Linked DNA regions of Xenopus tropicalis. The main gene of each other region encodes a partner of the protein of the gene in region 2 in a complex. Links are inferred from orthologs where the notes say so. Each region holds a gene or a part of one and is shown on either strand. Other genes may lie near its edges.

Evidence for each region.
Region 1: washc4 (region 2) and washc1 share a complex: the UniProt entries of both Homo sapiens proteins name them as parts of the WASH core complex. The link is inferred for Xenopus tropicalis from reciprocal best matches to the Homo sapiens genes WASHC4 and WASHC1.
Region 3: washc4 (region 2) and washc5 share a complex: the UniProt entries of both Homo sapiens proteins name them as parts of the WASH core complex. The link is inferred for Xenopus tropicalis from reciprocal best matches to the Homo sapiens genes WASHC4 and WASHC5.
Region 4: washc4 (region 2) and washc3 share a complex: the UniProt entries of both Homo sapiens proteins name them as parts of the WASH core complex. The link is inferred for Xenopus tropicalis from reciprocal best matches to the Homo sapiens genes WASHC4 and WASHC3.

Annotation. Positions count from the first base shown.
Region 1 is NC_030679.2:10,194,581-10,198,148, reverse strand, and holds part of washc1 (WASH complex subunit 1), read right to left. Parts: intron 3,106-3,568; coding exon 2,969-3,105; intron 2,674-2,968; coding exon 2,538-2,673; intron 2,467-2,537; coding exon 2,259-2,466; intron 1,058-2,258; coding exon 893-1,057; intron 744-892; coding exon 585-743; intron 1-584. UniProt on the Homo sapiens protein: Acts as a component of the WASH core complex that functions as a nucleation-promoting factor (NPF) at the surface of endosomes, where it recruits and activates the Arp2/3 complex to induce actin polymerization, playing a key role in the fission of tubules that serve as transport intermediates during endosome sorting.
Region 2 is NC_030679.2:50,296,227-50,299,794, reverse strand, and holds part of washc4 (WASH complex subunit 4), read right to left. Parts: intron 3,006-3,568; coding exon 2,898-3,005; intron 2,337-2,897; coding exon 2,190-2,336; intron 1,011-2,189; coding exon 931-1,010; intron 1-930. UniProt on the Homo sapiens protein: Acts as a component of the WASH core complex that functions as a nucleation-promoting factor (NPF) at the surface of endosomes, where it recruits and activates the Arp2/3 complex to induce actin polymerization, playing a key role in the fission of tubules that serve as transport intermediates during endosome sorting.
Region 3 is NC_030682.2:140,395,695-140,399,262, forward strand, and holds part of washc5 (WASH complex subunit 5), read right to left. Parts: coding exon 3,560-3,568; intron 2,993-3,559; coding exon 2,891-2,992; intron 2,525-2,890; coding exon 2,345-2,524; intron 1,788-2,344; coding exon 1,663-1,787; intron 1,575-1,662; coding exon 1,412-1,574; intron 997-1,411; coding exon 894-996; intron 407-893; coding exon 327-406; intron 147-326; coding exon 43-146; intron 1-42. UniProt on the Homo sapiens protein: Acts as a component of the WASH core complex that functions as a nucleation-promoting factor (NPF) at the surface of endosomes, where it recruits and activates the Arp2/3 complex to induce actin polymerization, playing a key role in the fission of tubules that serve as transport intermediates during endosome sorting.
Region 4 is NC_030679.2:49,099,126-49,103,252, forward strand, and holds the start of washc3 (WASH complex subunit CCDC53), read right to left. Parts: upstream 2,816-4,127; 5' UTR 2,749-2,815; coding exon 2,698-2,748; intron 528-2,697; coding exon 429-527; intron 74-428; coding exon 8-73; intron 1-7. UniProt on the Homo sapiens protein: Acts as a component of the WASH core complex that functions as a nucleation-promoting factor (NPF) at the surface of endosomes, where it recruits and activates the Arp2/3 complex to induce actin polymerization, playing a key role in the fission of tubules that serve as transport intermediates during endosome sorting.

The DNA.
Region 1 (3,568 bases), about 40 Mb from region 2:
CCACTGTGACAGAATGCTCTGTTATACAGATAGCTAGAATCTCAGCCATAAAGCAGGGCAGGACTGCTGCTTACAATGGGGGGATCAGATAGGATCTGTGCCACTGTGACAGAATGCTCTGTTATACAGATAGCTAGGACTGCCCTGATTCTATATTAAAATGTTCTCAAAGCTCCTCTAATAACTGAGTATATAACAAGTCCCCTTTTAAGTGCTTCTATAACTGATCAGGTTAATAGGAGATCTTGCCATGTTTAGACCTTGTCAGTGCCCTGAATATCCCCTCTATACACAATGCTAATCTAACGCGCACATCCCCACGCTGCCTAATAGTTCCATTTCACAGCCGATAGGCGCTGCACCCTCTCCGAGCCATTATCAGCGGAAAACAGTAGTTACTCTACAGAGGCCCCACAGCCAGATACTGTTGAACCCATCCAAGTGTGGCCTTCAGCTGTCACAGCGCTGATCTGTTCCTGGCAGCCCAGAGGGAACTTTCTTGGCTTTGGAGCCCTTGTCAATCTTTATTGCTTACAGACTATTAAAGCAGCCATGCGCAAGGGCGTTTTTAACTCTTCACTCACCCTGTTCCTGCTCCTTCATCTTCTTCTTCTCTAGCTTTTTCTCCTTCACATTACGCAGTTTGGCTTTCCCAATGCCCCCAGCCTGGCGGATGGACTCCAGCAAGGATGCTCTTCCGTCAGAGGGATTGACCACTTCTTTGGGAGCCCCCTGTAGAGAACCTAAGGGAACCCAATGCGGTTGGGGCCTGGATGAGTTTTTAGTTAGATGTTCCAGAACAATGGCATTGTATAGAAGGCTGAAACGGCTAAAGGCAATAACAACTTTAAATATACCATAACATTTTTGAAGTCCAAAGATGTCATCTTACCTGGGTCTCCAACATCGCTGCTGCCAACCCTGGCAGGGGCAGGTATAGGCAAAGGTGGGGCCAGAGATGTAGGGGGCGACAGGACACTGGGTTCAGGAGGGGGTGGGGGAGGTGGAGGAGGAGGGGGTGGCGGCGGAGGTGGGAGAAGTCGACCATCCTGACTGTCTGAAAAAGATAAATATTCTATCTTTTAGGAATAATCCAGCAGTTCTCGTCATGTTATCCACAATAAACATGACGAACGCCTGTGTGATCTTCTACATACATTTAAAAGCCCAGCTTGAAGGTCATTTTTGCTTGGATCTGTGAAGACCACTTACCTCTGGGGGGGGCCTCGAGCATAGAGGGGTAGCTTATCCTAAAGGCCAGTTGTAATATCTAGATCTACAATGCCTATTCGCATTCCCACATGCACATAGAAGCCCAGCTTGATGGTCAGTAAGGGTGAAATTTGGGGGAGAAGACTTATTTTCTGCCCTATATACTCCTTAAGGTCCCCATACATGGGCCCATAATAGCTGCAGATATGGGTCCCTTAGACTGATTCGGCAGCTTATCGGCCCGTGTAGGGGCACTACCGACGGGCCTGTCCAACCGATCTCTGGCTTGAAATCGGCCTGATCTCGATCAGGCAGGTTACAAAATCTAGTCGGATCGGGGACCACATCGGCTCGTTGATGCGGTCCCCGGACCGACTTTGCCTATACCCATCATTATAATTCGATCGTTTGGCCCCAGGGCCAAACAATCGAATTACCCTGGATTCTCCTGATATCGCCCACCCGTAGGTTGGGGATATCAGGAGAAGATCCGCTTGCTTGGCGACATCGCCAAGCGAGCTGATCTACCCATGTATGGGGACCTTTAAGGTGGCCATACACCAAGGTCGCCAAGTGAGCGGATCTTCTCCCGATATCCCTACCTACGGGTGGGCGATATTGGGCTAATTCAGGCTAATTTGTTCGTTTGGCCCTGGGGCCAAACGGTCGTATTAGAATGCCCGTAATAGGCGCAGTCGGTTCAGGGATCGCATCAACAAGCCAATGCGTTCACCGATCCGACTAAATTTTTAAACCTGCCTAATTGATATCTGCCCGATTTCAGGCCAGATATCGGTCGGGCAGGCCCGTCGGTAGTGCCCATACACGGGCCGATAAGCTGCCGAATCGGTCCAAGGGACCCATATCAGCAGCTACAAACGGCCTGTGTATGGGGACCTTTAGAACTATGGCCGATTGGCTGATACACCCTGCTCTCCTAAACCTGTAACCTTGATAAGTGCTAAAGGTGGTCCTGACCAAAGTTTAGACCTTCAATAGAAGCTTAAACTGAAAAGGTCCACCTTACAGTCTGGGAATAAAGTCACCTGTCCTAGAGTTTTCTGTGATGTCCTCTGTGATGAAGGTTGGAAGCTCGGGGATAGGAACTCCAGGTGCAGAAGGAGCGATGCCAGGCCCAAGGTCGGCGCTGTACATGAGATCATCAGCCACCCCCGGCAGGTCCGGCAGAGAGTACGGGACATCTATTTCGGGAACCTGCCCAAGGTCTGGGACATAGAAGTAGTTCTCCGCAGTCTAAAGGGAAAGGAGTTGTCTATGTTAACCGGAGTTCGCCTTTTGGAACATCAAGTGACCAACTGCCTTACCTGTCGCTCCAGCTGTTCCCTCTTCGTGATGGAAAGGGGTGCATCGAAAAGCTTCTCCTCATCCTCTCCTTCTAATGCCGGGTTGGTACGAGTCACGACCCCAGCAAGTGGGTCAAGGAACACGTACTTCTTATAGCTGTTAATAGGGGTGATACAATGAGAGGACTTTGATTGACCTTGATCATATTCCACCATTTGTGGTACCAGATCCCTACACCTTCCTATAGAGAACCATTTCTAAGGTCCATCTCAGTAAGTAGTACACCACTCCCAAGCCCTGAGCCCCCCTCTCCCATGTTCCAACCACATTCCCAGTTCCAGGAACCAAAGCCACCAACCATTTGGAGATTCATCAACCTATTCTACAGGGCAGTGCCAATGTACCCCAGGCATCACTTGGTTTAATACATTCATTATCCTTATGGACTTACAGATTCTCTGTTGTGTTGAAAAGGAGCAAGGAGCTGACAGAACTGATGTTTCTGGGGAGGCTGCCCAACCCTTCTTCTGCGCTCTCCTCATCTTGCCCTCTTGTATTCACGCACACTGGGAAATACTTCAGTTTTTCCTGGAGAAGATAATAAAGAAACTACTAATGCAACAACAATTCCTCCATTGTTGTCTCCCTGGTAATCTGATCCCCATTGTAAGCAGCAACCCTGCCCTGCTTTATGGCTGAGATTCTAGCTATCTGTATAACAGAGCATTCTGTCACAGTGGCACAGATCCTATCTGATCCCCCTCCATTGTAAGCAGCAGTCCTGCCCTGCTTTATGGCTGAGATTCTAGCTATCTGTATAACAGAGCATTCTGTCACAGTGGCACAGATCCTATCTGATCCTCCCATTGTAAGCAGCAGTCCTGCCCTGCTTTATGGCTGAGATTCTAGCTATCTGTATAACAGAGCATTCTGTCACAGTGGCACAGATCCTATATGATCCCCCCCATTGTAAGCAGCAGTCCTGCCCTGCTTTATGGCTGAGATTCTAGCTATCTGTATAACAGAGCATTCTGTCACAGTGGCACAGATC
Region 2 (3,568 bases):
TTTATGAGGAGGCGAGCAGGAACCTCAATGCTGGGATGGCAATGGATGTCATCTACTTGGGCTTTGCTGAAGCATTTGATACAGTACAGCACAAAAAGTTACTGAGGAAAAAAATGATCAGTGCACCAGAGGCCACCCCTTTAGATTAGATAATGAGAGCAGTGAGGTTGGGGAATGCCCTAGTGATGTTGTGATGGCAGATTCTGTTAATGCCTGGATGATTTCTTGAACAAGCATAATATCCAAGGCTATTGTGATACTAAAATCTTGATGTTAGTATGTATGGTTTATGTATGTGAATGCATGGATAGGTCAGGATAGGTTTATGTATATGCTGGGGTTCACTTGGAAGGGTTGAACTTGATGGACTTTGGTAGAAAAATACCTAATAAAAAAAAAATAAACTAGTGCATAGTTTTCCATAAAAAACAACAAACTGCATGAACTCTAGTTATAGGATATGTAGAACATGAAGGCAGAAAACACCCACACACACACCCAGGCCTCTGTACTGTATGCTTGGTGCTCAGTATTTCTGGCACTACCACACAAAGCTGATCCAAGGGAAACTAGCCCCTAACTTTTTATTATGCCAAAACCACACAGTGTTTTCATGGGTGTTCTCCCCCGAAACATTGTATAGTTTTGGCATAATAAAAAGTTATGGGCTAGTCCTCCTTGACTTTGTGTGCCAGTAGCCTCTCTTTTGAATGGCACATGAAGGTGGATCATCTGCTATACTCACTTAATTTGTTTGCCCTTGCCCTTGAACTACTAACCAAAAGAAATGTATAAAATGGCTTCTCCTACATTTTGTAATTAGAAATTTAATTGCAGGCACAACAATTATCATGCAGATATACAGGCGTATTCCGATAAAGCAGTTTAACGTTAGTCTTGATATACATTTAGTTACTGACGCTTCCTTACCTTTCTCTTAACTCGCTTATTAAGTCCAGTTTCTTCATTACAAGCAAAAGTGGGAGAAGCTCTTCATCTTTAAAGGTTTTCTATAAAGGTACAATAATGCAGAAATCTATAGACAGCCATTTTTCACAATGAAAAAGTAAATCACTCGTCTTTTGGTTTTACTGTGTGGAGTAGAATGAAAAGAACTAGCTTTATGTGACCATGCTAGCTTGCTAAAACCAGACAAGCTATACAGATTCTATATCTAACAGTATGGCTCATATAAATCATAGCTTAGACACCTTAATTATGAAGGTAAAGCTTTAGTAAAAGAATTGTAAAAGGTACAGAGAGTGCAACTACATTAAAGGAGAAAGAAAGGTAAAAACTAAGTAAGCTTTATCAGAAAGGTCTAAGTAAATACAGCCATAAGCATTCACAGAAACGATGCACTGAGTTATCTGTCAAAAGATGTTGTGTCTGTTTTCCTCTGCCAGAGACACGCAGCTCTCTCCTCTCTCCTGCTCCCCCCTCCCTCTAGAATGCTAAGAACTCACTCCCCCCCCTTAGGAATGTGTATCTGAGCCAATCAGCAGGAAGCTTCCTCATAGTCTTACAAACTGAGCATGTACACTGGTCTGGGTCTCAGTGCAGAAGCAAGGCATTATGGGAACTTTCTTTACATAGCTCAGCGTTTTCTTTCCTGTTTGGCTTCTGATCATCTGAACAGGTGAAATATGGGGAGATTTAAGGACACTATTGAGAGAACTGAAGGTATGCCTGCAGCTTGAGATTAACTCTTTATTAGCCTTTCCTTCTCCTTTAATTAGGAGAATAAACGATTTCACCATTTATGGTGACAGCTGAATAACTGCATTCTGGACATCCATAAGAAGCTGCGTATTAAATAAAAAACTGTTGGATCTTGCACATTGTCCAAGGCATGGCCCATAGGCAGCAAGGTGACTCACTAGTTAGCATTACTTTTTCAGGGTTTATTCCTACTCCCATACAGCCAGTTAGATTGATAGCTGTGTGTGTGCTATGTGAATAGGATGTTAAGATTCACTAGGGCAGGGTCTTACGAGAATGATGAAGAATTTCTGCAAAGAGCTGAATAAATGCATCAGTGTTATATAAATACAACATAATAAATTACAGGACACTACCATCCCTTTATCTTTCAATCTCTCTGTCTCTATGCTGCATCTCTCTCAGTCAGATGTTCAGTGAAACAAAGAGCACAAATGGTAATGATATCATTCATTCGAGGAACTTACCATTTGTGTCCCCACACTTAGGGCTAATGACACAATGAGCCTTCTCTGTCTTGTACTGGGACCATTGAGAGTATTCTCTGCCAATACAAGGGCAGAAAGAACGTCTAAGCGTTGTTCACTGTACTTCTTATCAGAAATAACCCTTTTCTGTATTAGAAGAGATATAAACAAAAATGAAAAAATATATGTATGTAACCAATGTAGGGGTCTACATTTAGTAAAGTATTTGCATCAGGGACTACCAACTTAATTTTAACACTGCTGTGTAATTTGATTTCAACACACTGAAAAAACACACACGATAATAATGAACAATATAAAACAAAATATCCCTTGAGAGGTCTCCAGTGGATAGGGTCCTGCGGACAGCACAGCTTCCCTCACCCACTGCCTGAGCAGCTAAACCATTCTATTCACTGCCCACATGTCATTGCTGAGACAATTTGTGTGGGGGACACAATGGCATGAAGTGAAGCTGTGCTGTCACAAAGCAACTCACTAAAGTCACTATATGCTTTATTGGTCACATATTGATATAAACACTGCTCCTAAAAAAAACACATTATTAAACCTTTAAAATAAATCCACACAATGCCAGAATAGTTAGTAGATTTCTGGGGGAATAAAGAAAAGACTGGTCAGAACTGGTAAGTTTCCTGATGAGAATTGTTGACATTTTAAAAGATGAATTGATTAGTCCACCCCTACCTTAGCAACAGCAATGGCAGCAAGAGCTTGATGCTGGAGGTGCTGTGTAATGTGTGATACAGAATCCGCTACAACCATGCTTCTCCTGTGAAAAGTGTGTTCTATTGCCTATGAACATGAACAGAATGCAAAGTCTTAACACAGGAATACATCTATAGTAATAAGCTCATAACAAATGGGTTGAAAAAAAATAAAAAAATCATTAAACCTGAGATAAAGCAGATTGGATTTAAATATTGCCATAGCTGAATGTCAGTAATTTGGGCAAACTTGCCATTAAGACCTGAGACACAGCTGAAAATGTAACACAGCTGTCTGAACATGGCCAAGGTATTAAGCCTCAGTGTCTCCAATGGCAATGCCATAATTAACACACCTACATGGTTAAAGGAGAAGGAAAGGCAAAGCCACTTGGGGGTGCCAAAATGTTAGGCACCCCCAAGTGACTTTAATCACCTACCCTTACCCAGGGCTGGTGCCCCTGTTAGGAGAGAACAGCACCAACCTGGGGTACCTGCAGCGCTTCCTCCTTCCTGCTTTGCTAGCACGCGCATGCGCAGTAGAGTGAAAAGCCGAACTTTAACAGAGAAGTCAGCTTTTCACTCTACTGCACATGCGCCTGTCATTTAGTCGTAGTAAAAGGAAGGCGGACGGAGGAAGCGCTCCGCTAC
Region 3 (3,568 bases), on a different chromosome or scaffold from region 2:
GTACAGTATTTATCACAGTTAGATGAAGGTTTAAGCTCTTACTCATTAAAGTTCTCTAGGGCTCCTGCCAGGTGCTTAGAGTCAAATTTACACGAGTAGTTTAACTCATTGGCAATCTGTTGTCTTAACACTTGCATCTGTCCAACCTGTAAAAGCAGAAGGATAAAGTTAAGATGAAGCAGCTCATATCCGCTCTACAAATTGATGACCATGATGATAACATTACAGCAGTCACTGAATGAAAACTCCCAGAATCCTGAGATCTCTGGCAGCACTGAAATTGCCCCCGCTCAAATAATCTTCGGAACTAGTATTCCTTTACCTACCTTCATTATAGCATCAAGATAAGCAGGCCAGATTTTCTGGGTTTTTGCAATGGCAGCAGAGTATATTTTGGCAGAATTAGCTGTATAAAATAATGAATATATGTATCATGCTTAGGGTTAACATACAATGCCTTATAAACAGCCACTGAGGAAAAGCTTCTTATGTTGTAAAACTACACACAACTCTGCCCCTACATGAAACAAAATTTGGTGAGGGCCTTCCTGTGCTTATAAATGTACTTGTATTGGCCATAATACTCTATATCCAAGATGTATATTCACTCCCAAATTACATCCTACTATCCTGGGATAGTAATTATGCCTATGTTCCAAACCTGACAACAATTCCCTTTTAGCAGGAGAGGGCCCATTCTACTGTCTCAAATACTAATAACACATTGCAATTAACACTGAATTTACTCACAGTTCGGGAGCCTATACATAACTGGAACACAGTCATAATAGCGCCAGTACTATAGCCCTAGTGAAGGGCCACAATCTCAGGGCTATCAGCATTACAATCTGCCTTGTCAGAAACTAGTATTACATCAGTAATAAAGCACTTACCTACAATCCCTTTAACTGGAGTAACTACCTTCTGTAAGGCCCGTAATGTCTCCTGGGCACTTTTATCCCTCAGAATTAACCTCTGATACAAGAGGATGAAGTTCTGAAAGAGAACAACCCTGTGACTTCATTCACAGCCACTGCAATAAGCACACACTTTAGCATTACATTCATGTCTTTATTGTTGCCCAATGGAATCAATATCCTACTGTAATAGTGTAGGTGTCATAAACCTTATTATGAAATACAATCAGCAGGAACCATTTACTGGTCACCGGGGCATAACTACAGAGGAAGCAGACCCTGCAGTTGCAGGGGGGCTCAGTGGTTTAGTGGTCCCAGTGAGTCCCTAATTAATGAGCAATTTCAATATATATCATGTCAACCTACTAATATTTGGGGTTGTAAATTCTAGTAATTTCAAGTAACTAGTACAGTCCGACCCTGTATCTAACATTACAGTTTTAAAGCTTAAATGCGAAGGTCTCTATAATTGTGCGCCCTCTGGTGGTACAAACCTGCAGTTCCTTCACTATCATAAAGCAAAGTAACCTGTCCAAGCCATTTAAGCCAAAAGTTCCCAGTGAATCGTTGATCTCTGAGAAGAGGTGGTTATTAGTGACTTCCTGGTGAGTTTTCATGTCGTACCACGTGTTCATCTGATCTATGTAACACGTAACCCTGCCGTGCACACAAAGGGGTAAAACACACATTTATAAAAGGGGAATGCTTTCTCATAGTGAAAAAAACATTTTATTTGGCTACTTACTTCGGATCAGTAATTCTCAGGATTTCCCGACACAGACGTCCTATAAACGTCATTGATTCATCCACAGGAGGAAATTTGGGAATAGGGATGTGAGTTGACTGATACATGCTCTGCCAGTCTTGAATCTGTTGGATATAGAATTGCAAGTGATCAAAAACACTGGGTCATTTCTATGTCAATAATTCTGTATCAGTGGTAAATGGTCTAAGTTGCAGGATATAATGCCACAATAATTATTCCCTATAAGGGTGATCACAAACTGGCATACAGTCCTTTTCTTCCTGTCTGTATTTTGTAGGGAGGCAGAGAAAAGTAGTTCCGTTCCTATAGGCTCCTGTGTGTAGCTGCACTGACAGACACAGAATTGGCCTGACTGCAGTTACATAGAGCGATTTTTGGCCTAAAAAATCTGAAAGCATGCTTTCTTGGGCCGATCTCAACTCTATTTAGCTACACTCAGGCCGCTGTGTCTGTCAGGGTGGCGACACACAGGAGCCTATAGGAGCGGATCCATGCCCAATGAGCCATCACCCTGAGGGTTTGAATTTGAGTGATATGAATCTTTTTTTATAACCTCGACAACTATTTTCAAATGTCTATGTGTTTGTAAATATCCTATTTAATTACAAAGTAAAATACACAAACGGTTATTTCCTTTAGTACTGTAAAGCTGCCACGGTACCTTTGTTCTTAGGAAGTTGTTGCATTCCTGTTCTACGTTGTAATTAACAATACGGGATACTTCCTCCTGCCAAATTTTCAAGCCATAAATGCTGACGTAGTCTTGTATGTACTCGAAGGAGCGATGGAATCCATCCATGGTGGCAGCCATGTCTTTCAGCTTTGGCAGCAGTTCGCTGGGCTACAAGAAAATGCAATTTTTTTTTCCATAAAAGGAACAGGCAAGAGAGGTTTTAAACAAAAGTCCTATTTTTTGTAGTTCATGATAAACCTAACTTGCTGGTTTTGCCCCTTTAAATACCCCTTTGTTGCTATAATCCAGCACAGCTGAATGTGACCGGTATATTATGACAGTGTAGTTCCCCCCATGGGAGGATTCCTATTAAATACCTAGATCAGATAAGATACATGTAAGGCTTGAGAGGCAATCTCCAGGGGAATGTCACTGAGTGTGAGAGGTACTGTGCTGTACTGTACTGCCCTTTCATTCTATTCTGTGCGCATTGTAATCAAATGAAATAAAGCACAGACCACTCTGCAGTTCTACCTTTGCTCTGGAGTTGAAGATAAGCCCTTTGTGTAGAGCAACAGCAACTCTTTTAACCAACTCCTTCCTGATCCCATCCTCCAAAAGCTGCTTTGGATCCACCTATGAAGACCAAGTTAAACAAAGATTAAGATTTCTCACATATTCCTTATGTGCACAGTGCTAATTAATGATTGCTGGCAATGGTTTAAGCACAGGAGAATATCAAAAACTTACAATATGAAAACAGGCACATACCATTATAAGTGTGGTTTAAAGAGACAACACAAATTCCCTGTTATAAATAGTACAGACTGTTGGTACAGTTGCACAGTGACATATTAGCTCTGGCTGACATCACATGGCACTTTTTAGATAAAAGGATATCTTTAGATAATGTAGTTTCTATATTACTAAACAGTACGTTAGGTATAATTACAGCAGATAATACTGATGCATCTGCCTGCAGCTGAACTGAATAGCTAGTGAATTCATTCACAGATAGTAATGGGTTTTAACTCTACTACTAAAATGGAGCGTATCAATATGCTGATACTATTGGGAGAACAAAGCAGAGGGGTGCAATACATTAGGGGGAAGGCCAAGTCTACCAAGGAATTCTTCTCATATTGCAGTGCATTATGTGACCCATAGGGAGTAGCTGGTACAGTAGAGCAGAGGGCAGCCTACCTTGATTAT
Region 4 (4,127 bases), about 1.2 Mb from region 2:
TACATACCTTTGCTTCCAAAATATTAAGGGTTGTTTCAATCTGCTGAATACGTAGGGACAAGGCAGAAAGTTTCTAAAACAATAAAAACAAAGTACCAACATTAAAGGTCTAAATAATGGACATATTCTGTAGCTCTGTGAGGGGTAAATAATCAAAGATGCAAATTAAATAGGATCACTGGCCTATGCAGCATATAGAGAAGACCCTGTTCATATGGGCAATGTAATGTAAGCTCCCACCAAGCCCGTGCAGCCATTAAATTACCTGAAAGCCCCAAAATGTACATGTACTGAGATTTCAAACGATAACATTTACCATAACATTCTCTCATCTGAACAGTGCAAGCTGCAATAGACTAAGTAGCACTTGGTTTCCAGTCAATGCTGTAGAAAAGAGGGAAAGCTAGAACACGCTAGGAATACAGTACCTCTTCACAAACTGTAGCAAACCGGTTAAGGAACTGAACAGAGTGCACAACAAACTGGTTCAAAAATGCCACTGTTCTTTTCTGCTGAATAGGTGGGACCTAGGGTTTATTAAATAAAAGAAAAAAGGTCAGTATACTGCATTTGCAAAAGGTATAGAACACAGTGCAAGCAACGGATATTAGTTTGAACAGGTATATAAAGGGTTCATTCATCCAGGCCATGGAAAACAATACCTAGTTGTGTTAAATCTAAAGCAACTTGAATTAGAAGCTCCTCCGATGAGTGGTGAAATGTTTAATAGAACTAGCCTACTAATGACAAACTGAAAGGCTTTTTGACCAAGGCAATATTTCCAAAACTCTAATCAGAATAACTCTATGGGGCCTGGCACATAATGACCAGCAGAGGCACTTTTGCAGTTCTGAAGTTACAGCTGCCTGCATCTTTGCAGGGCTCCTTGCTCGAGGATGACAAGATGTAAAGATGGCCATACACAACATATTTAAGCTGCTAATTCGGATCCTTTAGACCGAGCTTATCTGCCTGTGTATTGGGACAGGACTCCCCGATCATTAATGCGGTACTTGCTCCAACTTCTCATATCCCGTTCATTTTAATGTAATCTTTTGGCCCTAGGGCCAAACAATCACATTAGCACAATATCACCCGCTCAAGGTGAGCATATCCGGGGAAAGATTCACTTGTTAAGCGACGCCATCATACAAGTGAATTTTACCATGTATGGCCACCTTTACACAGCTGAACAATCGGGGTTAGTTAGTGCACATCATTGAGACACACCTTTAAAAAGAGTGGATATTGAGGGAAGGATTTAATAGTTTGCAATGAAAAGAGATTTTATCCAATTCTCCATAGGGTAACTAAACTTAAAAGTGTGAGTTCAAACAAATGCCATAGAATTATTCCACAATCCTGAAGATACAGAAGCCCAGTTAATTAGGATATCTCACTCTGCAGCCCATGGCTGACGGCCGTGTATACTAGCTGTGTGTATACACTTCTAACCAGAGTCCTCTGCACAACAGCAAAGGACAGTTATGTCTACAGGATTAATCAAAAAATAATAGTGGGTAGAAGGGCTTCGCTGTTAACAGGGATGCTGTATCCCTGGGATTATTAAGCAGCAGTATGACATAATAAAGCCCTTTGAAAAACACATTTTTAAGACCTTAAGCCAGCGGAGATGTTTTATAAACGGAAGAGGCAATGTACTTCAGTGTTAAGATGAAGACACACAGAGCTATTAGTAGCAGCTACTTGTCGTGGCTACTGTCTCTACGTATGTTTTAGCAGGGGCAATTCTCGGTATTGTCTAAGGCTGGGTATTTTCTGGCATTTAGTAGCCTTGACAAGTAGCTGCTACTAAGTAGCTCTGTGTGCCTTCACCGTTATTGTCTATGGCAAGGTATTTTCTGGAGTTTAGTAGCTGTGAAAAAGTAGCTGCTACTAGTAGCTCAGTGTGACTTCACCCTTAATGAGAGGGCTACTGCTTCTGAAGTACGCAAATGTGATTAAAATAGTTGTAGAGGCTACTGCATTATTTCCACCACTCTGTGTTAAAAAGACACCTGCATGTGATTTTTTGGGTGTAAGTTTGCTGTGCCTGTTGATGCAGCTCACAATGGGAACCCTGGAATTACGGCCACCTGCAAGCTAGAGGTAGCACTAGGGTTCCCCTGCATCATTAGATGCACAGACAGGCACAAGGTTACTTAGTTCAAATATAAGCAAGTGCACAAATACCTTTAATGAATCTCTTAATGATTGCATCCTTGATTAGCACCATCACAACTGCAGCCATAAACAAGCCCGATTGTGTCTGAGTCTGAATGGAGCTGACCAATGCTTTCGTGGAAATGGCTTTTTTTGAAACACATGATGTATGTGCCATTAAGGAAAAGCCTAGCCACAATTTGAACAACTGGACATCTTTACAGCAAGTGTAACACCACAAAGCACTATGAAACATCAGCTACAGACAAGTGCAGTAACAGTAAATAATCAAGTATATGGGACAGCAGGTCAGTTAAGACAGGAGCCATATGGATATGCTAAGAACATTACAGTACCAATATCATGACTGCACAGTAAATAAAATGAATGAATACACAGTAAAAGTGTAACTTGCCTTCCCTTAATGACTACAGGTTAGTGTAGAGCTGACTGACTAGAAAAATGCACATGAACACACATTACAATACACATTAAATCTGCCCATTCCCCTTCACTTCCCCCTAAAAGACGCACCTTAGTGAGGTCAATCCCAGAGCCCACTATAGGCAGCCCGTCTTCATCCATCAGCCCAGCTCCCCTTGCTCACTGCACTACCTTGTGTTGTGACATGGTCTGTCATGTGATTCCTTCCGTACCATAGAGAAGACTGAAGCCAGAGCGGCACACAGAACCTCTCTTGCTTATAAAACCTCCATGGCTAAAGTTGCTGCTGGCTTAATAATGATTCAGTGACTACAGAACTGCTTCTGTTTCCGACGTATTCATGTGACTAACGCCACTCAAAGCACTTGCTTTTTAGACTTAACCCACTCAATGCCAGATGAGTTTCTTAATTCGTTTGTATTAGTAGGCAGCAGATTGCAGCTTTTGAGCAGGAAGGGAAGTGCAGTAACAAATGAACTGGTTATGGGTGCCGCAAACTCTTTTGTACAGGGAGCATAATGTGTCGCCTCAGCCCTCTCCTGCTGGCTGCAGGGTTGTTGGTTTTTTTTTAATTATTATTACAAACCTTGTATTCAGTGGCTGCTCAATTTTTTTACTTTTATAAAAGTATATTATAGAAGGGACCTGGGCAGAGGTGTTTTACCTATAATGCCACCCTGAGACCATTTTTTTTTTTTTTGCATCAGAAGGGGCTAGTGCATCGCTATCACAGAGAGCACAGTAGCACTTTTTGCACTAGATAGGGTTGCCACCTTAAGCTGGCCATACACGTGGCGACCATCGGTCGCACGAAACATCGTCAGATCCGCCACACACCATTCAGGGCTGAATCGGCAGGTAAGGAGGTAGAAACAATAGGATTTCTACCTCCTGCCGATTCAGCGCTGAAGGGAGATTTTGGTCAGGCGCCTTCTATGGCGCCCGATCAAAATGTTCAAACTGGTCCGATCAGCGAGTTGGCCGTTATCAGCAGCTTCTTGCGATATCGGTCGACTCGCCGACATACCATACACGCACCGAATATTGTAAGTTTGAGGTTTTATTGTTTAAGGATTACCAGAGAAAAAAACTGCTGTTTCACTTGTGCTACTTTTAAAACTGGCACCAATAGTATTGGCCCATATCCATGGGTCAGGCAAAAAGTATACAGAGAAAAATAACTAATATAAAGTAAAATAGAGAAAACAAAAACAAAAGCCATAGTTGTCCCTTTAGGGTCCATATGACTAACTAGCAAAGCAAAGTACCATAATGTGACTGTTCTATCTGCCTATTCTATAAATTCACATTTGTTATGTCACAGGTGGCTTACTTTCATGCTTTTTGGAAAACTGAAGTGTTATAAGGAGCTCTTGATATAGTTTACTAACAGTAAAATATGGTGGTAGTAACATATTGGTGTGGGGTCTGCTTTTCTTTATGGCCGTGGTAGACGGGGAGATTAGTCGCCCGCGACAAAAAGATAACTGAGGCATGGGCAAATGTTTCTTTATTAGCAA